Linked DNA regions of Sus scrofa. The protein of the gene in region 1 interacts with the protein of each later gene in a pairwise test. Links are inferred from orthologs where the notes say so. Each region holds a gene or a part of one and is shown in the gene's direction. Other genes may lie near its edges.

Region 1 (3,500 bases):
TTAACAACGGAGCTTAGAAAGCATCTGTCTCCTGGATTCCTAAACTCTTCTCCCCACTCTGCCACCCTGCCCTTTTCCTGCAGTACTGTTTTTAATCCCATCTCTAGCATCCAGAGGCAGGGTATTTTAATTAGTCCATTTAATTAGTTCATTCTAAATATGTGCCACCCCCCCCCCATTTTATCACCTAATAATTGACTCTAGTAAGTCCCTTTTGGCAGAAATGGGAAACATCTGAAGTGGCCGTATAATCATCTGTAGGTACTCTCATTCTTTCTACACAAGCTGACTTAGTCAACTAAAGAAATAGACTTGGGCCCGTCCCTTCCCCATGTCTCGCCTGTGCTGTTCTCCCTGCCCGGAGTGACTCTTTCCCACAGATTCCACCTCAGTCTAACCCCAGGGTTCTCTGATTCAGGTGGGAGCCTGAGTGTGCAGAGCCAAGGCTAATGTCTGGCACACAGAAAATGATCACCCAGCCAGAAGCTGTTTTTCTTGTGACCTTTCTAATCTGTACTATTCAAGTTATACTTGTTAGTACTGCTCTGTGATTTGTCTTTGTGTAGATATATGTATATCTCGTCAACTAGTGAGCAAGTGAGCTTCTGGGCAGAAGAAGCCATGACTAATACATTTTGTTTCTCCACAGTGTCTGCTCAGTGCCTTGCACGTAATTCACTCCAGATAAAGTCGATTGAATGTGAACAATTTCCTTTTGAGGAAATTGCCTTAAGGATGCTATAAGAGGAAAGCCTGAAAAGGCTAATATTTGTGAGGACTGGTGAATAAGCCCAGGCCTTCCAAATCTCTCTGATACTCAGCCCAGCTGGGGTCTGAGTTGAAATTGTCAGGATTTACTACACGTAGTTTTCGTTTTGCTTGCCGGAGCACACAGCTGTTTTCTTTGCCATCAAAGAAGCTTTGCTTCTGCTCAGGAGCCTCAGTGGTCTGACCGCCACACTTTGGCTACTAGACTACCCTGTCTTGGGCTTCAGTTCTCTTGGCTTCATACCCTTCCACCAGTTCAGCTGGTTGGCTGCCTTGCTATGAGTAATTCTGGCAACGTTTGCAATCTATAGGGAATCTTCCAGGCAAGTCTGACCTGCAGGGGCCGAATAACCTAACATCCATTTTATTAGCTTATTAACTTGTTCCTCTGACAGGGCAATGCCTAAGCTACCCAACAGCCATGGTAGAGGTGTGTGGTTGCTTCCTGAAATGGCCCAATCTCATGCCCTTCCTGTGTTGACATCAGGCTCTGACAGCTTTCACAAAAGTCTTTTTAGCCAGAGAGGCTGAAATAGTGACACTTGCAGCATGGCTCAGTTGAACTAGTTAACAGCGGTCTGAGGGCTTATCTCAAATCTAGGACCTTGATGAAAACTTTGTACCATTTCCATCCTGAGCCAGCTCCAAATGGGATCTTAATCTTGTCTTTCTGAACCAGCTTCCTATAGCCAGGCCCTACCGAGAGTGAATGGCTTAAGCTCTCGGTTAAGTAGTACTTTAATGTTTTCAGACTTAGCCAGGCTGAAGACTTGAAAGCAACCTCAAGAACCAAAGGGAATGGACAGGGTACAAGTTCAAGATTCAGATGTACCTGAATCCAGGCGCTACCACTCTTGAGCTGGGGATTTAGGATAAGTCAGTAGACTGAGCCTTGGGTTCCTGGTGGAGCGCCCTCTCTCAGAGAGAGCCAGTGAGGTAAGCTATATAAAGCAGCTGGTGCCTTGACTGGTACAGAGAAGATTCTTGGTAGCACTCACACTGTTTCTTCAGCCTCGTCCCCTCCACCCTCCTGCTTCCATTTCCCCGTGTGGTTGTTGCTGAAAGGCATGGTTTCCTCACTGCATGGACTAGGTCTTTATTTTGTCCCCTTTGCTTTTTCTCACATTGCAACAGGCATCCCGGGCCCAAATCCTAGACAAAGCCACAGAGTATATCCAGTATATGCGAAGGAAAAACCACACACACCAGCAAGATATTGATGACCTCAAGCGGCAGAATGCTCTTCTGGAGCAGCAAGGTGAGCAGCGGAGCTTGTGGGGCAGTGGCCCTGCTGTGCTCCAGCCAGGTCAGGGCTTCGCACCCGGGCCTGCAGAGTCAGGACCAGTTCCAGAGTGTGTGCTCCTGAGCAGCTGCGGCCCTGCTTCTCGGGCCTGAGTAGCTGAGTGGTAGAGTCATCCGAGGAAGGACCTGAGACGTCAGTGAGGGAACAGTGGAGTCTAGGGTTTAGACATCTGGAGACTTTTCTCTGACCTGCTCTCTCTCCCCTTCTTGGGGCTCAGGCGCTCTGTTTGCAGTAGGGCATCAAGTGTCTCGAGAGCTGTGAGGTCCTTGGATCGGAGTGTGCTGTGTAAGTGCCAGAGACTCCAGGTGTTCAGGGACAGTGAGCGCTCCCGGTGTCACTGGTAGTCCAATCAGGGCAGCCTATGGGCCAGGCCCATGCTGTTCTCCAATGCTCACACCCGCCTTTTCCTACAACCACAGGGGAAAGCGAGAGCTGATCAAGTTCTTTGTTCCTGGGGAATTCACTTCTCTTCCTCCCTCATGGAAGATGCAAGTAAAAGGAAATGCAAGTAACCACCTGGGTTAGAACACCTCAAATAAACTAAACTAAACTAAATGGGTTATAACCTTCCAGGCTCAAGATGAGCTGAGCTGAGGGATGGGCAGCGGGAGGTGGCAGCGGGTTGGTTACTGGGCTGAGCAGCCTGCATGTAGGGGCTCCGTGTCGAAAGGCCCAGGTATTATTCTCTGTGTATTGGTGACTTGCTTCCAAGTGTCCAGCTTGTCTTTCCAAGTGAATCGCATACAAAAGTGCTAAGCCAAAACTTTTCTTTGGCTGATACATCTTCTGTCATCCTTTCCTGCTGTTGTGTGGCCTCCACACCCTTGCAGAGCCTGGCGTGGCCAGGCCGGCTTCTCTGTTACTGCACTGCTGGGTCCCACAGGGAGCTCGTGCTCCTGTCTCTATCCCGGCCTTCCACGGCAGGACGGTGACATCACAAGACTTCTCTTTCGATTGGGTGGCATTGCAGAGTGTCTGGCCTTGTCCATTCCACTGGGCACCCAGGTCTGGCTGGGAAAGGAGGAGGGAGATGAAGTGTGCAGGTGGAACAGCCACCAGAAGGGAGATCCTTTTGAGCCACTCTGAGCCTCGGGGGCCAGCAAGCCCTTCGGAAGAACAGGCTGGACCCTGACCTGAGACTCGGTTGCTCCCCTAGTCTCCAGAAGGCTGTAACCCGCTCGCTTGGTTGCCTTTCAGTCCGTGCACTGGAGAAGGCGAGGTCGAGTGCCCAACTGCAGACCAACTACCCCTCCTCAGACAACAGCCTCTACACCAACGCCAAGGGCAGCACCATCTCTGCCTTCGATGGGGGCTCAGACTCCAGCTCGGAGTCGGAGCCCGAAGAGCCCCAAAGCAGGAAGAAGCTCCGGATGGAGGCCAGCTAAGCTCCGCGGGGCAGGCCAGCAATAAAAACTGTCTGTCTCCTCCG
Region 2 (3,500 bases), about 36 Mb from region 1:
CCACAGTACCCGTGGGCAAGGCTGGAGCCCACGGAGTCCAGGATGCAGGTTCCACCCCCTCCCCCCACCACTGGGCAGTTTCAGGGTCAAAAATCAGCTCGGCCCCTGTGGAGCCCAGTAATGTCTTCGTGTTGCCAGATCCAGCCCGGGAGCTGAAAGTCCTCATCAGTAACCTCTTGGAGCTACTAACTGAGGTTGGGGTCTCCGGCCAAGGCCGTGACAATGCCCTGACCCTCTTGATTAAAGTGGTGCCCCGGAAGTCTCCTAAGGACCCCAACAACAGCCTCACCCTCTGGGTCATTGATCAAGGTAAGTGATAAAGAGACCAAGTGCCTGTGTTGCATCTTGCTCAGGTGGCTGGGCCTGCCTATCCCCAGGAGTGATTGCATTCAGCATGTGGTTGCACCAGAGTGCATGTGTGGCCTGTGCCACATTGGCCCCAGGGAACATTGGGCTATGCAGCTGCGTGTGTGTGCACGTGCATGCACAAAGAGCAGGCCTGCCAGCAGGTTAACAAGGCTGGGTCAGCTTTCTGTACGGGTAGTGTTTTTCAGTGAGTGTGTATTACTTTTGTATGCAAGAAAATATTCTCAAGGTTTAATAAATAAATCCGTACTTCTCATTTCTCTTAAAAGATAAGTAAGGAAAGCTTGGCAAAAGTGCCAGCATGCGCACATCTGTTGGTTACTCATCTTTTCTTGTCATCCCAATTATCCTGTGAGGTGTGGTTGTTACTTTAGCCTTCAGGTTTTTTTTTTTTTTTTTTTGGTCTTTTTAGGGTCACACCTGTGGCATATGGAAGTTCCTAGGCTAGGGGTCTAATTGGAGTTGCAGCTACCAGTCTACACCACAGCCTCAGCAACAACGTGGGATCCAAGCCGAGTCTGCAACCTGCAACCTACACCACAGCTCACGACAATGCCGGATCCTTAACCCACTGAGTGAGGCCAGGGATCGAACTCAGGTCCTCATGGTTACTAGCCAGATTGGTTTCCCTTGTGCCACAATGGGAACTCCTCCCCTTCAGTTTTATTTTATTTTATTTTATTGCTTTTTAGGGCTATACCTGCGGCATATGGAAGTTCCCAGGCTAGGGGTCAAATTGGAGCTACAGCTGCCAGCCTACACCACAGCAACTCGGGATCAGAGCTGTGTCTGTGACCTACGCCACAGCTCATGGCAGTGCCAGATTCCCAACCCACTGAGCGAGGCCAGGGATCGAACTCTCATCCTCATGGATACTAGTCAGATTTGTTTCTGCTGCGCCACACTGGGAACCACAAAGCCCTAGAGCATTTGGCCCCACGGGTAGGGCTGGACCGCAGACCTTACTTTTGAGGTCTTTCCCTGACCCCACGTTTGCTCCTCCCCGCTGCTCTCGGCAGCCAATCAGATTCTCTGAACCTGACTGCACTGTGACCTTAATTAAGAGAGATCCAGCCTTTCTGTGCATCTCCCAGGAAATCTCTTCCCTTTGCCCATGGGGGTTGGACCTCATGTTCTGCTGTCTAAATGGGGTATCTTTTCAGGTCTGAAAAAGATTCTGGAGGTGGGGGGCTCTGTGCAGGACCCCCCTGGGGAGCTCACAGTGACGGCAAACAGCCGCATGAGCGCCTCCATTCTCCTCAGCAAGCTCTTCGATGACCTGAGGTGTGATGCCGAGAGGGAGAATTTCCATCGACTCTGTGAAAACTACATCAAGTAAGGGAGTTGGCCCGCCTCCTGTGGTCAGGGTTCCAGTGAGAGCTCTGACTCCTTGGGGGAAGGACTGCAGTGGAAGGTTTCCCCCCAGGAGGGCAGCCCTTGGGGAGGGCTAGCGGGGGCCAGCATGGTCGCAAGGCCCACTTCTTGTTCCAGAGTGACCCCCCTGCCCCCAACTAGGGACGTTCCATTTTATGTCAGTTCTCCAGTGCAACAAATGTCCTCAGGCACATGCTGTTCACCTGGCACTTATTGTGTGTCACTTCTGACTCAGTCATGCCCCATGACAGTCCTTACCCTGCGAGGTACCTCACAGCTAGGAGAGGGTTGATGGAGAATGAGAAATGACAGCAGCAGCTAAGATCAGATCTCAGTGCGGGGAAGGAGACAGGCAAGGGTGGTATGAGTGAGAGTGACCTCGATCAGGTGGCATGTCATCAGGGGAGGGTCGAATAAAAGCCTGGGTGAAGATCAGGGACTGCTGTCTGGGGGGTGTCCTCCCGTTGGCAGCTTTTCTTGCTGTTCCTGCCCAAGGAGTGCAGATGCCTGGCCAGTGAGAGGGAGGAAAAGAGTGTCCCTTTTTGCTGGCCTTGGTATGACAGCTGCCACCCTGTGCCCCTCAGGAGCTGGTTTGAGGGCCAAGGGCTGGCCGGGAAGCTGCGGGCCATCCAGACGGTGTCCTGCCTCCTGCAGGGCCCATGTGACGCCGGCAACCGGGCCCTGGAGCTGAATGGTGTCATGGAGAGTGTGATCGCTCTGTGTGCCTCGGAGCAGGAGGAGGAGCAGCTGGTGGCCGTGGAGGCCCTGATCCACGCGGCCGGCAAGGCCAAGCGGGCTTCATTCATCACGGCCAACGGCGTCTCGCTGCTGAAGGACCTATACAAGCGCAGCGAGAAGGACCGCATCCGCATCCGGGCACTGGTGGTGAGAGGGGCAGGCCTGGGCTGGGCAAGCTGGCAGCCGAGCAGGGGTACTGGGCTGGCTGGTGTCTCAGGGTGCAGCCCCAGCACATGCTAGATGAAAATAGGGGGCATGTGGCCCGGTCAAGGCCAGAGGCTGGGGTCTTGGCTCCTCCCAGGGCTCGTGGTCGGGTCAGGGAGATGAGCCTTGTACAGAGAGGACAACAGAGAATGCAGGGCGGCATGTGCTGCCCCCTGTGGGCGCCAGGAGCAGCTCCCGGAGATTGTGGAGGAGTTTGGAGGATGCGCTGTGCCAGGCAGGTCAGAGGGCTGGGTGGAGACACTGGGCTGGCAGGTGGCCTCAGGCGCTGGTGATTCGGGGCCCACCTGGCCTCCATGAGTCTACTTCAGCCCTGCACCTTGAGGAGGCTGGTCCTCCACTTTGGGGCACTTAGTCCTGGGTTTCTCCATGCCATGAGGATCTTGGTCTTGGTGGAGGCATTGTCTTCTCTATGCACCTCATCCTCGCTCCACCTGCAAAGAGCTTTCTTGTTTTTCATGGAAAGGAGCAGAGCAGATTCTGGTGTGGACATGAGGGGTCAGGGCCCAGGCCAGCACGTTGTTCCGTATGTCAGTCTCTCCCAGATGCTGTGTCCCCTGGCCACACTGGTAGCCAACTTTGCTGCCCAGTGCTCCAGGTGGTAGCCTGTGGGGGTGTGCATGGCCTCCAGAGAGCCTAGCAGAGTGCCGGGGGCAGAGGGGAGCCCACGTTAGCAGTGGGCCAGCCCCGACCTGCCCCCATCCCTAGGCCAACGGCTGGTTCTTGCTCCTTCCTCCAGGGACTCTGCAAGCTCGGTTCGGCCGGAGGGACCGACTTTAGCATGAAACAGTTTGCAGAAG
Region 3 (3,221 bases), on another chromosome or scaffold:
ACCAGACATTTCCCTTTGCAAAATCCCTGTGTCACTTCACCTTTGATTCCTCTGTTCTTCAGAGATCACAGTTAATAGCTTGTATTACAATTATTTTCATGCCCTGTTCTTGAAAGTGCACATATACCAGATTACTAATGTTCTTCCTTTTTTCCATTTGGCAGAGGAGATTGAAGTGGATGTTGAAAGCACAGAGTTCTCCCATGGAGAAGTGGACAATATCAGTACCACCAGCATCAGTGACATTGATGACCACAGCAGCCTGCAGAGTATTGGGAGTGACGAGGGTTACTCCAGTGCCAGTGTCAAACTTTCGTTCACTTCCTAGAACCCAGCATGACATAACAGTGCAGGGCAAAATACTCACTGGGCCAATTCAATCCAAACAATCTCTTAAATTGGGTTCATGTTGCAGTCTCCTCTTTAAAACTAAACAAAACTATACTTGAACAAAAGGGTCAGAAGACCTCTATTTAAGCAAATACTTAGCAAAAAGTGGGGCAGAGCCTCCCCAGCAGAACAAATATTCATAATATTCATATTTGAAAATCACAATTTCTAATGGCAGCAGAAAACTTGTGTGAAATTTTCTTGATTTAAGTTGATTTGAAAGAGGACATTGGAAATTCCATCCTCTTTTTCTTTTCTGGGTTGCTCATACTACATTGATTGAGTAGACACATTTAAGGATGGGATTATGAACCCTTCTAAGTTTTTTGGTCCTAAAAACAAACAAATATCAAACCTATAGTAATGACAAGACAAGATAATCAGGCATTAACCTTGGATAGCTAAAGAGCTATTAAAACTCAGCCTGGGACAGCTTATCATGAAGCCTGTGGATGATCAATTCTTAAAACAAAAAACAAAACAAAAAAACACCTCATTTCATGCTCTGCAAAAGGAGAGACTCCCATGAAGCCTTTTAAAAGGGATCATCATATGCAGCTCAGCTTTCTGTTGGATTCCATGCTAAGCAAGCTAACCTTATCCTGCATTGTTAGCACTAGGGCAACCCAACCTCCAGCTCAACAGTCAGCCGCCCTTAGGCCCATGGGCAGCATGGGGCAGTCCATGTGCATGACAGCCTCTACCACGCAGGGCCTGAGTTTGGATTGAGGGGCCAGAAGGAAAAAGCTCCACGTGCCTCTGTGTCTGCGTGAGCCAGAAGAGTTGTCCACGCAGATTAGCAGGCCAAGGTCTGAGCCACGGCAGCATTTTTATTTTCAGATTTTGATAACTGTTTGTATGTGTTAAAAACCAAAATGACATCTTTTTAAAGCTTGTCCATAATAGACGTCTTTTATAGTGAAAAACACATGGGAAAAAAAAATCATCTATTTTGATGCAGCATTTGATAATGATAAAACACCTCACACCTCACTCTTTATAGTGCACAAAATGAATGAGGTCTGGGCTAAGTAGAAAAAAGGTCAATGCTGTTTTTGTTTTGTTTTAGAATCATTACCTTTTACCATCTTTTAACCATCTATAGTAGACACACTATCATAGTTAACATAGTTAAGTTTGGCACTTGTCTCAATTTATGTGAAGATTTGCTTCCGTTTTCCTACAGGCAGTCTCTCTACTTCCTCACAATCCCACTGTGCAGGTGCTATTGTCGCTCTTGTCAATATTTTCAGAAATGTTATTTTCTTTTAAGTGAAATTTCTAGCCTGCACTTTGATGTCATGTGTTCCCTTTGTCTTTCAAACTCCAAGGTTCTCCCCTGGCCCTTTCCCCGACCCTGGGAAGCCTTGGAAACCTTACCTTGGCTCTTTGGACTTTGTATACTTTAAATAATTTAACTACCCTTAATTACTTAAAAAAGAAAAAAAAAGCTTTATGATTTTCATAACTTATTGCTGATTTTAATGGGTTGTTAATTTCAGTCCTGTAGTTTTATTTTGTTTAGATAGGGCTGGGCAAGGAAAAAGGAAATAAAGACAACCATATTTAGCAGTGCAGATGAGTTGTGTGTGTAATGTTAGACTATCCTTTGTAAGTAGCACTTTAACAGCTCTCACTGCTTCTATATATGAAGTGAACCATCTTGGTCATACACAAGGCCTCATCATATATTTACTTGTCCTTGTGCTCTTCCTGTGCCTCCAAAAATATTTTATCCTTGATTGTGGTATGTATGAGTGGAAGAAATTCTTTGAAATAGATGTGTGAAAAACTGCATGCCTTTAGAAGCCCATTATTAGAACTTGTTACTTCAGGTGCTGGGGACTTAATGAAAAACATGATAAATTCATTTCTGCGGCCCAGGTAAATTATTTCTGGTTTCATTTATAATTACTCCTGGCCAGGTCAAAATGTTGCCCTATATATTTGTTTTCCCAAGGGAGACAGTTTGAAGACTGCTAAGTACCTTGGAAAGTAAATGGAAGCCAATGACAGAATTTCCATTTTGTTGTTCCCAGGGCATTCATTTGCATCACTTGTCTAGGGCTGGAATTTGGGACTTTATTCAGGTGAACTTGAGGTGCTGCCATTTTGTTGTGTATGTACAGGATGGTGGGCTGGGAAGCCTTTGTCACAAACCTATAGTACTTATTTCAACTCCCCCCTAAATTACTCCTTCCCTGGATTTGTTTTCCTTGGGGGAGGGGAATGGATTGTATGATGAGTAAGAAGTATTAATTTTTTAAAAGACAAATCGACTTTGAAGATACAAAAAGTTAACTGCAAGAAATAAAAATTGTGAATGAAAAATACCTGAGTGCTTTTTGTACCACCCTTCTCTATGAAGGAAAAAGTATCAGTGAGCATCCATACCTTGAGGTCCAGCTATCTTATAAAATGTCTGTTGATACTACTTCAGTGGTCCGAATTAATGGCAGCTTAAATCATTGCCACTTCCTAGCCTGTAAATAGATACCTTCTTGACTAAGAATTCCATGTAATTTTGTTATTCCCAGGGCATTCATTTGCATCACTTGCCTAGGGCTGGAGTTTCAGACTTTATTCAGGTGAACTTGAAGTGCTGCCATTTTGTTGTGTATGTACAGGATGGTGGGCTTGGAAGCCTTTGTCACATATAGGTGATTTAATGCACCCGAAATTATTCTCCAGATAACATTTTAGAGAGTCCCTTTAGCTATGTTATTTCTCAAATTGAAAATTTAGTCGCCATTTGGAGTTCCTGTCGTGGCACAGTGGAAATGAATCCTGACTAGGAACCAAGAGGTTGCAGGTTCGATTCCTGGCCTCAC
Region 4 (4,216 bases), on another chromosome or scaffold:
AGTTGTGCTGGACCAGGAGGTGGTTTGGTCTCCATGCCGAGTCACTAGCCCTGGCCAAGCATATGGGAGCACTAATCCATGGGGGAGGCAGTGGGGGGGGGGAGGGTGCTGGGGAGGGCAGGGGTGGCTGGGAGACCCTGGGGAGTCCCTAACCTCAGGATTCCCAGCTCTGTCAGTCCTTCTCGAAACAAGGAAATGCATATAAAGCTTTCAACAGGCCCTCAGGCTGAAACTGTGAGGTTTTTAGTTTTGTCCTGTTGTGCTGGCAGCAGCAGAGTGTCTGTGTTGGAGGGGGTGTCCAGCCACCTTGCACCCCAGAATCTCCAGCTAGCTGGCCCCCTGTACAGGAGCTCCCAGGCCATCAGTCTCAACGACCAGTGAGAGGGAAAATTAAGGAGGCCTGTGGCCAGTCTGGGGCTGCCCCTAACCTGCCAGTCCCTGCTCCAATGGGGCCAGCTTAGGGTCAGGCGTCACTAGGGCCACCTGCCAGCCCGCCAGCCGGGAGCTCTCGCCCCTCCCACGAAGGGCAATTCTCTTCCCTAGAAAGCGCTTCCATGGCCAGAGGGGACAAGCGCTCGCCTCTTGGAATGTCCCCACCCTTTGGGCCAGACAGGAGCACGCAGCCCTCCACTCATGGGAGCCCTGCGGCGGCAGATCTTGGCACCCTTCTCTTCTCACATCCTTCCTTCAGCCCTAGGGTCCACTGGGCAGCTCTGAGGGACCCCTGCAGCTCCGGGCCTCAGTTTCCTACTGAGATCCTCCGTCTAGGCCCCTCTTCCAAACCCTAGCCTTTCCTGGGATCGCGCTGTGTCCGACGAGGAGGGCTGTCGTTTTGCAGCCCCACGAGAGACCTCCGAGGAGACCGCGAGGCCCCGAGCTTCCGCGAAGCCAGTTATGGCAGCAGGCCCGGGGCGACAGGTTCCTGTGCACGGTGTGTGCAGATCCGGCGCACCGGCGGGGTATTTGGGATGCTCCCTGCGCCCTAACGGGCCCTGGCTCGTGGCCGGGCGGCAGGCGATCCCACAGCCCTCTGCTTCCTCTCGGCAACGCGTCCGGCCGCAGCGCCCTCATTGGCTGCGCGCCCCGAGGCCGGCCATTGGTCCGCCGTGCCTATTTTACATAGACCGCTCTGGGCCAATCGGCGCGCGGCGCCTACTTAACATGCACGCCTGCCGCCAGTCAGCGAGCGCGGGGGCCGGGCCACCACGTGCTGTTGCTAAGCTTGGGCTTCTAAATTGTTACTACCGCGGCGGGCCTATCGGAACCGAGCTTCGCATCTGTCAACATTCTCGGCCCGGCCCGAGGCGTTCGGCCGGCTCCTATTGGCCCCGACCCAGTCCGGTGCCCGCCCCCGGAGCCTGATCGCCGACTCCCATTGGTTGTGCCGGCCGCCGCTCGCCCTTATGTGTCAATTTGAGGGCCCGAAGCGGAGGGTGGCGGCCGAGCGCGCTAGGAGTCCGCGAGAGTCGGGGAAGTGGAGCCGCAGGGCGCGCGGGGCAGGCGGCGAGCGGAGCCGGCCGGAGCGGGCCGGGCAGCGGCCGCCGCCGTCCCGGAGCGCGCACGCGGGGTGGGCGGGAGGATGGAGCTGAATTCCCTGCTGATCCTGCTGGAGGCGGCCGAGTACCTGGAGCGCAGGGACCGAGGTAGCGCCTGCGCCCCTTTGTGCGCCGGGCCGCGGGCGGGCGGGCGGCGGCGGGGCCGGGACCCGGGCGGGGGCCAGCTGACCGCGCCGTCTGTCTGCAGAGGCCGAGCACGGGTACGCCTCGGTGCTGCCCTTCGATGGCGACTTTGCCAGGAAGAAAACAAAGGCGGCTGGCCTGGTGCGCAAGGCCCCGAACAACAGGTACTACCCCCCGCGCGGCGCCCCCAGGCCCGGGGCTTACGCCCCGGGAGCGCCCTCCCCCGGCCCGACCCCAGCCTGTAGCCCGGCCGCCGCCGCTGCACGCCCCGGCGGCCAGCCTGGAGGAGGAGGCATGCCCGGGCCGCGACAGCCCCTCCCGGCCGGCCCCGCCCGCGCCGTCGCCATCTTCCCGCGGGCCGCGCCTCCTCGGACTCTCGCGTAAACAGTGCCACGCGTACAGCGCCCGCCGCCCGGGGTCTCCTCCCGCAGTCGCTCCCCGCCCCCAAGTTGTTCTGTACTTTTCCTGGCAGGAAAAAAAGTTGTCAGGGGCGCTGGCGGATCCCCGGTGGGTTTAGGGAAACTGAGGTTTGGTGCAGGGCAGCGTGGGGCTGCTGGCCGCGACCTCTGCCCCCGCGGGCGGGTGGGCTGCACTGTCTCCAAGGACCGAGCCCCGCCACTGGACTGAGTCCTCCCACCCCAGGGACCTGCACAAAGAAGTGTGGAAGCCCTGCCCTGGGCCTTCAGCCCTCGCACGGTGCCCACCGCTCCTTCCCAAACTCCTGACACAAGTGAAACTCCAGCGACCCGTGCGGGGGGAGGGTGTCCCCTTCTTTGGGTCAGAAGGCCCTTTTTAAGGGGGCCGGAAGAGCTTGTGGGGCCACGTGCAGCAGCCTCTCCCAGTGCCAGAGACCCCTCTTCTTGCTCTGGCCTTGTACCCTGGCTGTAGGCGCCTGAACGTGGGGGTGCATATCCCTGGGTGGCAGTGAGGACCTTCCGGTAGGGTTTCTGTGGGATTACACTCTCCTGGCCGCTGTGGGGACCACGGCACACCTGGCACTGCCCAGGGGCCCACTTTGGCCCTGGACCATGTCACCAGGCTGGGAGCTGCCTTTCCAGGGGGCTTTGGGGCCCCTTGGCAGAGGGCGCGGCTCATTCCTGTGGCGTGCTCATTCTTGGGAAACAGAAAGGCTGGCTCAGGGACCCATCTCCTGTGACGTCCTGGCACCCTCGGCCTGGCAAGCAATTGATTGAGGCTCCATCTGCTCTGGCTGGACGTGCCTCTAAGTCCCAGCCCCTGGTCGCCTGTTGGGGACCGTTTGGTGGGGGACACCACTGCCTTAGGTGTCCGTGAGCGAGCCAGGCCCCTGCTGTTGGTTCTCACTGTGCCAAGCACCCTGCCACCCATGGAAAACTTGGGCCTGTGACCTTTTCCTCCTGTGGCATAGGGTACCCAGGGCCCATAGCTACCATCATAGCTGAGATTCTCATGCAAATGCTAATTAATATTCATCCAACCCCACGAAGGAGGTGGTATTTTTATCTCTATTTTAGGACCGAGGAAACTGAGGCATTGACAGATTGAACTACTTGCCTGGCCACCCTCTCACCTCTGGGTGGGATCCTGGCCTCGTACATTCTGCTGGGATGGAGACCCCAGGGCCCTGGGAGGGTCTCCCAGACCAGGGGGCACCTCCCCCTGCTTCTCTGGATAGAGCCCAGCTCCCCATGCTTCGGGCATATCCCGAGGCTCACAGGAGGCCCCACGTGGCTGTCCTGGCCCAGCGAGGCCTCAGCCAGCCCAGGGGCCAGGGCAGGGCAGGGCCCAGAGGACCCAGAGCTCTGGCTTGCCGGCCAGCTCCGCACCTCCAAGGCTTCTGTGTCCCCAGAAGGAGGGGGAAAGGGGTGGGCACAGCAGGGAGTAGGATGAAGTGTGGGTAGTGGGACAGAAGGGCAGCGTGTGTTGGGGAGACAGCAGCCACCATGTGGGTGCCAGGGCTACAGGAAGGGCCTTGGGGCAGGGGTGCAGCAGGAGGGGGTTGGAACCAGCCTGCCAGGGATGAGGTCCTGGAAGAGAGCTCCCACCTCAAGAGGTGGAGTGAGCAAGCTGTGATGCTGGAAACATAGCCCCGGCCAGGGAGCGCCTCTCCTCCCCAGGCCTCCATGCTCCTGGGACCCATGCGACACACTCCCCCGCAAGGCTCCTCGAGTGCCTAGACCAGAGAGGAGCATCAGGAGGGCCCCGGGCCCCTCTGTAACCCCTGAGCAGCGCCCTCTCTCCAGAATGGGGTCCAGCCCGGCCTGCGAGGGCCACTCTGGTCCGCTGCTCTGCACTAAAGGGCACTCGCCGACCCACACGTCGCCTGCACGCGAGCTGACCTGCAGATGACAGCACGGGCGGTGGCTCAGGCCAGCGAGGGTCCTGACGGCTGTGCCCCCCACCCCCGCCCCCACCCCCAGCCCTGGCAGAGGTTCTGAGGCTCCTTGCCCAGCCCGTGTGACCAGCAAGCCCTCGAGGCCCTGGACGTTCTCCTGAGGCTGCACAGGGAGGCCCAGGAGCCGGCTGCCCTGGTGGGAGGAATGGAGGCCCAAGCCCCC
Region 5 (4,009 bases), on another chromosome or scaffold:
CATGTGCTATGTGTTTACCCAGGACTGTCTCTTTTTAAAGAATCTAGGGATTTCCTGTTGTGGCTTAGCACTAAGGAGCCCAACTAGTATCCATGAGGACGCAAGTTCCATCCCTGACCTTGCTCAGTGGGTTAAGGATGCTGCCTTGCTGTGGCTGTGATGTAGGCCTCTAGCTATTGCTCTGATTTGACCCCTAGCCAGGGAACTTCCATAAGCCGCAGGTGTGGCCCTAAAAAGCAAAAAAAAAAAAAAAAAAAAAAAAAAGAATCTAGTTCCTACTTCTCCATCCTCTCCTTTTCCGGGTCACAGACCCAGCCCCAGTCTGGCGGTAATGCTCCACCCTGTAACAGCTGCTTTCATCTTCAGGTCTCCACCCTTAGGCTTCACCGCCCCCTCAGGTGTGACGACACCTCGTGGTGCTACCCATAGAAGTCACTGCATCTTCTTCAGGAGGCTATAAAGTCACGTTAAAGAAGGGCCCATGGACTCCGAGTAAGACGACCAGGGGCCCTGTGGGAGGAAGAAGCCTGCATCAGGTTGCACCAACCTTAAGACACCAGGAGCTTCTACAAACTGCACACAGCATAGGCATGGGTTCAGATCCTTCAAAGACGCCGTCCCAAGGCTTCTCGATCCTACAGGAAGGAAGGCATTTTCCTGAGAAGTATTGGTGACAAGAAGAATTGGTGTCGGCTCCAGAACCCTAGCAAATCAGTTCTCAAGTTGGTACCCTTCTGATGTTTTCATAGCGACAGTAGCTTCCCTGCAGATGAGGGGTTGGAGGAGCCGGGAGACTATTCCCATCCGCCACAGTAGGAAGCTGAGGCCCAGTGGGCGTTACGGGGGCAGATGGCAAGCAGGCAAAGGTACAGACCCGGGAGCGCAGGAGCCAGATCCGCGCCCCTCTTCCCTGGCGCTTGCGCACTGCGGGCCCCATTCCCCGCTCAACTCCGCCCTCCTCGCTCGGGTTTTCAAATTTGAAACCTGCTCCTTTTCCCGCCCGAACATGTTGACCAGCGGCGGGAGAAGGCGGAACCGCGCGCAGCCAATGGTGCCTCAGAGGCCCCCCAGCCCCGCCCCAAGGTGAAGACAGCTGGCCGCAGGAGGCAATGGGCAAATGAGTGAGGGCGCCCGTCGGGCCCCGCCTCCGCCGTGCCCACGTGCAGCGGCGGAGCCAGGGGCCTCCTAGAGATCACCCGCCCCCAAAGCACCATTCTGTGTTCCGGCCTTTCGCCACCAGCACGGGGCTGGGAACTGAGGCCTAGAAACGCAAGTAACAGACGTGGAGTTGCTGAGCGAAGCTGTAGGACGCAGCAACCCTCCAGCCCAGGAGTTTGTCCAAGGGTCGGGCCTGGAGCCGAAGCTTGTAGCAGCCCTACAAGTCTGAGGGGGCGGGCGTGGTCGCGTGGGGTGGGCCGAGGTTCCCCGAGGTTCCCCGGCAAGTTTCAGGAGGGCGGGGCCAGGAGCTGGGCTGTCCCGGGGCGGGGCGGGGCGTCCTGGGGGGCGGGGCCGAGCGCCTGTGTTTGTTGCGCCGTGTCAGTTACATTGTAACAAAAGTGGTGCAGCCGCTCCTCCGGCCAGCACCGTAGGCCAGCCCGCCGCCAGCTGTCGCGGACATGGAACCCGTGGCCAGCAATATCCAAGTTCTGCTGCAGGCGGCCGAGTTCCTGGAGCGCCGCGAGAGAGGTGAGGAAGAACCCTTGGTTCTACTCGAGGCAGCGACCTCGTTGACATGGGCCTGGGCTGGACTTGGCTCCCAACTTGAAAGATGCATGGCTTTAGGGCAGTAGTTCTGGGGCACCCCTCCCTCACCTCAGAGGCGTCGGGCAGTGTGGTGGGAGGGCTTGGCGACATAGCCCTGTAGCCAGAAGGCCCTCCCTGATCCTACTGTGCCAGGGCCGCCCGCTGGTGTTAGCCCCAGCCTGACGCGGGCGGGGGTTCTCTCCCGCAGAGGCGGAGCATGGCTATGCGTCCCTGTTTCCGCACCGAAGTCCTGGCCCGGTCCACAGGAGGAGGCGGCGGTCCCCCCAAGATCCTGGCGCGCTGGACAGTGGGCGGTGAGGAAGGCTGGGGACAGCGGGGACCTGGGGTGGGGGATGGGCGCCGGCCCTCTTCGGGCCCCTCCACTGCCCACTTCATCCTTGTTGCTTGAATCGTCTGGGTCAGGTACCCTCCTCTGGAGGTATTCAGACTCCTCCTGCCGTTTCTCCCCTCCTCTCCCGCCCCTTAACACTCTTCGTTCAAGGACTCTTTCTCTGGTATGTTAGGAACTGTAAACCAGACACTTCTGGGTCTTGCGTCCCCTCACACTCTTACACTCCACACTCTTACGTCCCCAAGCTTACTCCTTTGCTGTCTTCTCAACCCTTTGCACATGCTGTTCCCCCCAGTTGGAATGCCTCTCTGTCCACTACCCATTTTGAATAACTTGTGTTGCTGGGCTTAGTTCAGTTGTCACCTGTGTCCAGGAAGCCCTTCCTGATTGCTGCTGGGGTTCTGATTTGGACCCCACAGTCACCTGGGCAGGCCTCTGTCAGCATTTGGCCTCCTTACTCTCTCTGCCTCTGCCTGGCGACTCAGGTGCCTGAAGCCAGTACGAGCTCCCCACAGCGGGCTGGTTTGGGGGACACATCTGTAGTGAATTTTGAGCCTCTGGGAGCCCTGGGAGTGAGGGTGTGGGCAGTAGCTGACGCCCCCTCACCCCATCCTCCCTGGCATTGGCAGGTCTGTGCATAACGAGTTGGAAAAGCGCAGGTGAGTCCCAACCCTGCCCTGACAGCACCAGGCCCCAGGAACTGCCTCCCTCTGGCCTTCCCTCCCCTGCTGTCCCTCATCTGGCCAGCAAGTCTGGGCTGGCACTGCCCTCTAGACCCCTTCCCCGCAGGAGGGCCCAGCTGAAGCGGTGCCTGGAGCAGCTGAAGCAGCAGATGCCCCTGGGGGCTGACTGTGCCCGATACACCACACTGAGCCTTCTGCGCAGGGCCAGGATGCACATCCAGGTAAGGAGCTACCCTGGCACCCTGGGGCCAGCTTGCCAGGATGTGTGAAGCAAGGCAGTCGGGAGGGGCCGGGTGGAACTGAGGAGAGAGGTCTGAGGTTGTGGCCCAGCTGTGAGACATGGGGCTGTTTTCTCTGTGCTTTTAGTTTCCAAATTTGTTAGGTAGGAAGAAAAATAGAAAATAATTCAGAGGATTGTTCTGAGGCTTTAAGCAAGTTCTTCCAATAAATGTTCACTTGTTATTATAGCAATTATTACTTGGATCCCAACTGTGGGACCCTGGACGAGTCACGTAGCCTCTCTGGGTTTCATTTCCTCCTCTGCATGGGAGGCATTCTGTGACGGGTCATGTGTAAGGGTCCCTCAGAAGGTAGAGAGCTGGTTCTCACTCTTCCTCTCCCCCATCCTTCAAGGCCTCCTGCTCTGGGCAGTCTTTCCTGACCCTGTTTTGGGAGGCAGCTCCAGGGGCTGGGAGGGTGAAAGCCCTGAGAGGACACCAGTGAACCATCCTCCAGGTGCCCTCGCTGCTGCCAGGACTGAGCTCAGCGCCCCCTAGTGGACGGGAGTGGAGTGTGCTGACTAGAGCACAAGGCAGCTCTGCATGGTGGGGACTAGAAGTGCCTGGGAAGCGATAGAGAGAGGCCTTTTCCAGCCCTCTTGGCTCTTATGACAGAGGGAGTAATGGAGGTGCAGCCGAACTGTTGAGAGGCAGAATCAGAACCCAAGCCTGGGTCTCCTGACTTGCATTTTTGCCTTCAACAAGTGAGCACCTGCTCTGCCAGCCCTGGCAGAGACAGATGGAAGTGCTGTGCAGCAAGTAAATCAGTGTGGGCCTAGATGCCCACATTCCCCTCATTGTGGCTGAAAAACACCGGGGCTGAGTAGCAGGCTCCAGTTTCTCATATGGAGTTTGCCTTGCTTGGTTCTCAGAGGGGCTGATGTGTGATGTGTACTTAGATGCTGGCTGGCCTGTGGGCAGGACCTAGGGATTGCTCCTTCCTTGAAGCCTTG
Region 6 (4,098 bases), on another chromosome or scaffold:
AAGAAGGAACTAAATGAAATTGGGGTAGGGTGATGGTTCAGATGAGAATCCTGGGGACATTTACACTTGTCTTCAGAGACAACTATACCTAACAGATGTAAAGTTTTTCTGGTGGTAATAGTCTACGTTTTCCTATTAAAAAAAAATATCGGTTTTGCAGTTTTTTTCTAGTTACTAATTTTATTTAAAAGACTTGCTTGTTTCTGAGATATGGAAAAAGTGAGGATGGGAGGCTGAATACCTGGAGGGGATCCCAGACCAAAAGAAAGTTCCTGCTTATGTATCCCTAGGTGGGTGCTCTTTTATGTGGCTTGGGTGCGGTGGTTCTAATTCAAGAATAATCAAAGGTAAAATATCCTTGAAATAATAGATCAACGGGAAAGATAAAATTTACCCAAGTCTAATTTCTGCCTATACGCTTTCCGTTTGAAGTGAATATTCTGTCTCCTCCCCCCATTCCTCATCTTAGTCATCTTAAACATCTCTCCACGTATCCGTCAGCTCGCTTAGCTGCGTTATAAATGAAGAAGGGCAGGTTTAACCTTATATGGTATCATTACTGTTTTCAGATGTGTGAAGTTGGATGACGTTTGTGGCGTCAGAGAAAAAGTTTTGGAAAGACCAGAGTTCTAAGTCAGGGAATAAGTCATCCATCACTTAAAAGACTGTATGGGGTATGTGTGTTGTAGCCGCAGCTCCCTCTGTTTCAAGTGGTGGGGTCTTAGGAAAAGCCAGTGGAAGATGTGACAGGCAGGAACGCTGTGCTAAAGTGGGAGTAGCAAACAAAAGTCCGCCCAGCTTTTATTTCCCGGCAGTGGAAAGTTCTTGAGTTCCCCTTACAGGCCAGTTCGGTGGTGTGGGAGAGGGGGCCCAGCCTTCCTTCCGTTCTTCCAGCCTCGCTAAGAACTTCGTGGGCAGATGAACAATCCTTTCCAAGGACTTGCCCGCAGCTAGGCAGCCCAGGTAAGACGTCCCACGTGCGCCCAATCGGCTCCAAGGCGCGCGTTCCCACTGAGCACGGAGGAACCAACCCCAGGCCCTGGCTACCCAGGTGGGTGTGGCTTTCGTGGTGGCTCCGCCCCCTCGAGCTCGTCGCGCGGGGCCGCCCGGGCGGGGCGAGGGAACGGGCAAGAAAGGGCGGGGAGCGAGCGGTGTGGGTGTGCTCGTGCCCGCGCTCGCGGCTGGCGTGTGGGTGGCGGCGCGCCCGTGCGCGCGCAGGGGAGAGGCTGTCCCCGGCGGCCGTTGTGGGGTTCGACTGGAGGGGCGGGAGGGTCACCTGCGAGCGGCTTCGACGCCAGCCCGCCGCGTCTGGATCGCGCCGGCTGCGAAACGCTGTTGGCTGCCCACTCTGGGAGGCTGGGGCGGAGGATCGAGCAGAGTCCGCGCCCGGCGCTCGGGACGAGGAGGAGTCGGACCTTTGCCGCCGCCGCCGCCGTCCGCGCCCGGCCGGGTAGGTGAAGCCGGAGTTGGTTGTCCACCGGCCGCCGGCGGGCGGGGAGAGGAGAAGCGAAACTTTCCGGGCGCTTCCCTCCGCGGTCCCCGGCCGTCGGCGGCGCGGGGAGGTGTCGTCGTCTCGGGCGGCGGCGGCCGACGCCATGTTGGGGTCTGTGAGAAACGGGGCGCTCCCGGCCGCTCCCCTCGCCCTGGGGGAGCCGCGCCCGCTCGCAGGACGCCGCCGCCGCTGCGGGAGGGCTCGGGGGCCGCCCGGGGGGCCGTGCCGGTGCTCGTTCTGTCCTCCGGGCCGCGGGGCGGGGGCCGGGCGGACGCGAAGCGGACCCTGAGATCGGGTGAGAAGTTGGGAGGCGCGGGGACTGGGGTCCCAGTCGTGGCCAATGGCATCTTAGGGCCCCAACATCTCTCTGTCCAAAAAGTTTGCAGGGTCTGGGCATCGCGGACGTTGTAATCTGAACAGCGTATTTTTATGTGATTGGCGGCCAAAAATGGCACCGCAGAATTTACCCTGATAGAAGCGTTGGCTCTAACGTCTTACTTACTTGGAATCTTTTAAAAGTTGTATGGTCTTTTGCCCAATTTATTTTTCCTTTATTTTTTAAATTTTTATTAAAGGCCGAGAGCTGCCTCTTCATGTTGCTTGACTATCCTTGTGCGCCCTTAGGACATTGAAGCAGTAACTTGTGAGTGTGCACTGGAAATCGTGGGTAGTATTAAGGTTACAGATAACCAAGTTCTTCTCTGTAATTCAGAGACTCACAAAGTTTGTAAATCGGTAAATACTTTCTTTGTTGTGTTTCAGTACGTCACTGAAGAACAAATTCAGTAAAGAAGGACTTAGACACGAACATTGAGAGACTCAAAGGCATGTGTTCTGTTTAGAATAAGGTGAAGTGATCTTGACATTGCGAGGTTTCCCCCCTCCTTTTGGTTCCTTAAAGGTGCTTGCCTACTGTGTTTTGAGCATTTAGATTTTTCTGTCCTTTGCGAGCTCATGGGGTCCTCAGGTTAATTCGGTATTAAGGAAAGCTTCTATTTTTAATCTCTTTGGGTCCTCACAGCACTGGAGGTGAATGGTATTAAGTTACTTATTTGGAAAGCACATGTAATCGCCTCAAAAAATAAAACTGGTGTACTGACCAAGGCATCAAAAAAGATTCAGCTTGAATCACCCCAGTAAGTGAATGTAAATTACTAGTTTTAATGAAGGCATTTGAGCTTCCAAATTCTGTTAATGAACTGAAAGGACTTTTTAACTACAAATCAGATAAACCCTTAAACATATCTTGGAGAATTTCTCTTATCAATCTTTAGGTAAAAATATAGCTTCGGCTCAGATTTGATCGCTAATTTCCTTAATTCTAGAAGAAAAAAAAAAACCTTTTTTTCCCCACTGTTAGGTAATTGCCATTATATGTATATATTTTTCTGTATGAAGAGTTACCTACAAATAAAGTGATTTAACTAACTTCAAATCTAACAGCCAAACTGGTATTTAAGTGAGATCTTATGACTGAAGCCTTCTCATTTTTCTTACAGCGTAACTGCAGGATATATAACTCATTCCTGTGGAGTAGTCTCTCTCCACCTTGTTTCGTCTGTTAGCTGCTCTTTCTGATTTTAATTTAGTTTCTCAGTATATCTATTTCCTGGAGTATTTCTTAGGAAATCTCAGTTTATGAGAGTTCATGTACTGAAATTATTCCTCCTAAAATTATTCACTCAAGCCTATAGAAGCTCCTTCTGCCCTGTTCTCCTTACCCCATCCTCTTTTTCTCCCCAAGAATAATTCACCTATCTATCCCATTGCATCCCAGTAAATGTATCTGTCATGGCACCTTCTTGACAGCAGGTTTAGGTCAGGTCTGAGTTGCCTCATCATCCCCAGAACATAGCACATGCTCAGGAAAGGTTTGAATGGATAAATACACATGTGTTTCTTGTAAATACGCTTTATGAATTTCTTGTTAAATTGCACTTTCAGGGGCAGAAGAGTTAAATCTTCTCTAACCACCTTTTTTTTTTTTTTTTTTTTTTGAGAATTTACCTTGGCAACTCATTAATTTTGGTCTGGGGGTACAGAACTTGAATGTTTGTGAAATTTCAGAGTAGATATGGACAGAAGGATAAGCAGCAAAGAAACAACAGCTGTGAGTCAACAAAAGGATAATAATCATAATTTAAAAGTGCATCTGGGAGTTCCTGTCTTGGCTCAGTGGTTAATGAATCTGACTAGGAACCATGAGATTGCAGGTTCAATCCCTGGCCTTGCTCAGTGGGTTAAGGATCCGGCATTGCCGTGAGCTGTGGTGTAGGTCGAAGATGCGGCTCGGATCCCGAGTTGCTTTGACTGTGGCGTAGGCCGGCGGCTAGAACTCTGATTTGACCCCTAGCCTGGGAACCTCCATATGCCACAGGTACGGCGCTAGAAAAGGAAAAAGACAAAAAATAAAAATAAAAAATAAGAAAAATAAAAGTGCCTCTGTATTTAGTGTTTATACTACATGGAAATAGAATTAATGCCTACAAATTTTGAAGGTCATGCTTATATATTTAAGCTTTTTGACAGAACAACTCTGATTTCTCTACCAATAATTATTTTGTTAGAATTTGTCTTAGAATTTTGTTTTAGAATGCCTGGCGTAA

What was found.
Region 2: the proteins of MAX (region 1) and UNC45A interact in binary tests that used the Homo sapiens proteins (3 or more experiments, as listed by UniProt). The two-hybrid records come from large-scale screens. The link is inferred for Sus scrofa from reciprocal best matches to the Homo sapiens genes MAX and UNC45A.
Region 3: the proteins of MAX (region 1) and MXI1 interact in binary tests that used the Homo sapiens proteins (3 or more experiments, as listed by UniProt). The link is inferred for Sus scrofa from reciprocal best matches to the Homo sapiens genes MAX and MXI1.
Region 4: the proteins of MAX (region 1) and MXD4 interact in a two-hybrid assay, tested with the Homo sapiens proteins (2 studies listed by BioGRID). The link is inferred for Sus scrofa from reciprocal best matches to the Homo sapiens genes MAX and MXD4.
Region 5: the proteins of MAX (region 1) and MXD3 interact in a two-hybrid assay, tested with the Homo sapiens proteins (4 studies listed by BioGRID). The link is inferred for Sus scrofa from reciprocal best matches to the Homo sapiens genes MAX and MXD3.
Region 6: the proteins of MAX (region 1) and PLEKHF2 interact in binary tests that used the Homo sapiens proteins (3 or more experiments, as listed by UniProt). The two-hybrid records come from large-scale screens. The link is inferred for Sus scrofa from reciprocal best matches to the Homo sapiens genes MAX and PLEKHF2.

What each region holds. Positions count from the first base shown.
Region 1 is NC_010449.5:89,144,266-89,147,765, reverse strand, and holds part of MAX (protein max), read left to right. Parts: intron 1-1,902; coding exon 1,903-2,026; intron 2,027-2,490; coding exon of another isoform or gene 2,491-2,575; exon of another isoform or gene 2,576-2,591; intron 2,592-3,268; coding exon 3,269-3,456; 3' UTR 3,457-3,500. UniProt on the Homo sapiens protein: Transcription regulator. Forms a sequence-specific DNA-binding protein complex with MYC or MAD which recognizes the core sequence 5'-CAC[GA]TG-3'. The MYC:MAX complex is a transcriptional activator, whereas the MAD:MAX complex is a repressor.
Region 2 is NC_010449.5:53,537,547-53,541,046, forward strand, and holds part of UNC45A (protein unc-45 homolog A), read left to right. Parts: intron 1-138; coding exon 139-309; intron 310-1,529; coding exon 1,530-1,701; intron 1,702-2,324; coding exon 2,325-2,625; intron 2,626-3,439; coding exon 3,440-3,500.
Region 3 is NC_010456.5:120,719,912-120,723,132, forward strand, and holds the end of MXI1 (max-interacting protein 1), read left to right. Parts: intron 1-164; coding exon 165-328; 3' UTR 329-2,721; downstream 2,722-3,221. UniProt on the Homo sapiens protein: Transcriptional repressor. MXI1 binds with MAX to form a sequence-specific DNA-binding protein complex which recognizes the core sequence 5'-CAC[GA]TG-3'. MXI1 thus antagonizes MYC transcriptional activity by competing for MAX.
Region 4 is NC_010450.4:1,214,008-1,218,223, reverse strand, and holds the start of MXD4 (max dimerization protein 4), read left to right. Parts: upstream 1-1,416; 5' UTR 1,417-1,579; coding exon 1,580-1,643; intron 1,644-1,743; coding exon 1,744-1,843; intron 1,844-4,216. UniProt on the Homo sapiens protein: Transcriptional repressor. Binds with MAX to form a sequence-specific DNA-binding protein complex which recognizes the core sequence 5'-CAC[GA]TG-3'.
Region 5 is NC_010444.4:80,635,774-80,639,782, forward strand, and holds the start of MXD3 (max dimerization protein 3), read left to right. Parts: upstream 1-1,209; 5' UTR 1,210-1,616; coding exon 1,617-1,686; intron 1,687-1,951; coding exon 1,952-2,057; intron 2,058-2,724; coding exon 2,725-2,754; coding exon of another isoform or gene 2,755-2,884; coding exon 2,885-2,999; intron 3,000-4,009. UniProt on the Homo sapiens protein: Transcriptional repressor. Binds with MAX to form a sequence-specific DNA-binding protein complex which recognizes the core sequence 5'-CAC[GA]TG-3'.
Region 6 is NC_010446.5:41,532,133-41,536,230, reverse strand, and holds the start of PLEKHF2 (pleckstrin homology domain-containing family F member 2), read left to right. Parts: upstream 1-1,298; 5' UTR 1,299-1,450; intron 1,451-1,702; exon of another isoform or gene 1,703-1,787; intron 1,788-4,098. UniProt on the Homo sapiens protein: May play a role in early endosome fusion upstream of RAB5, hence regulating receptor trafficking and fluid-phase transport. Enhances cellular sensitivity to TNF-induced apoptosis.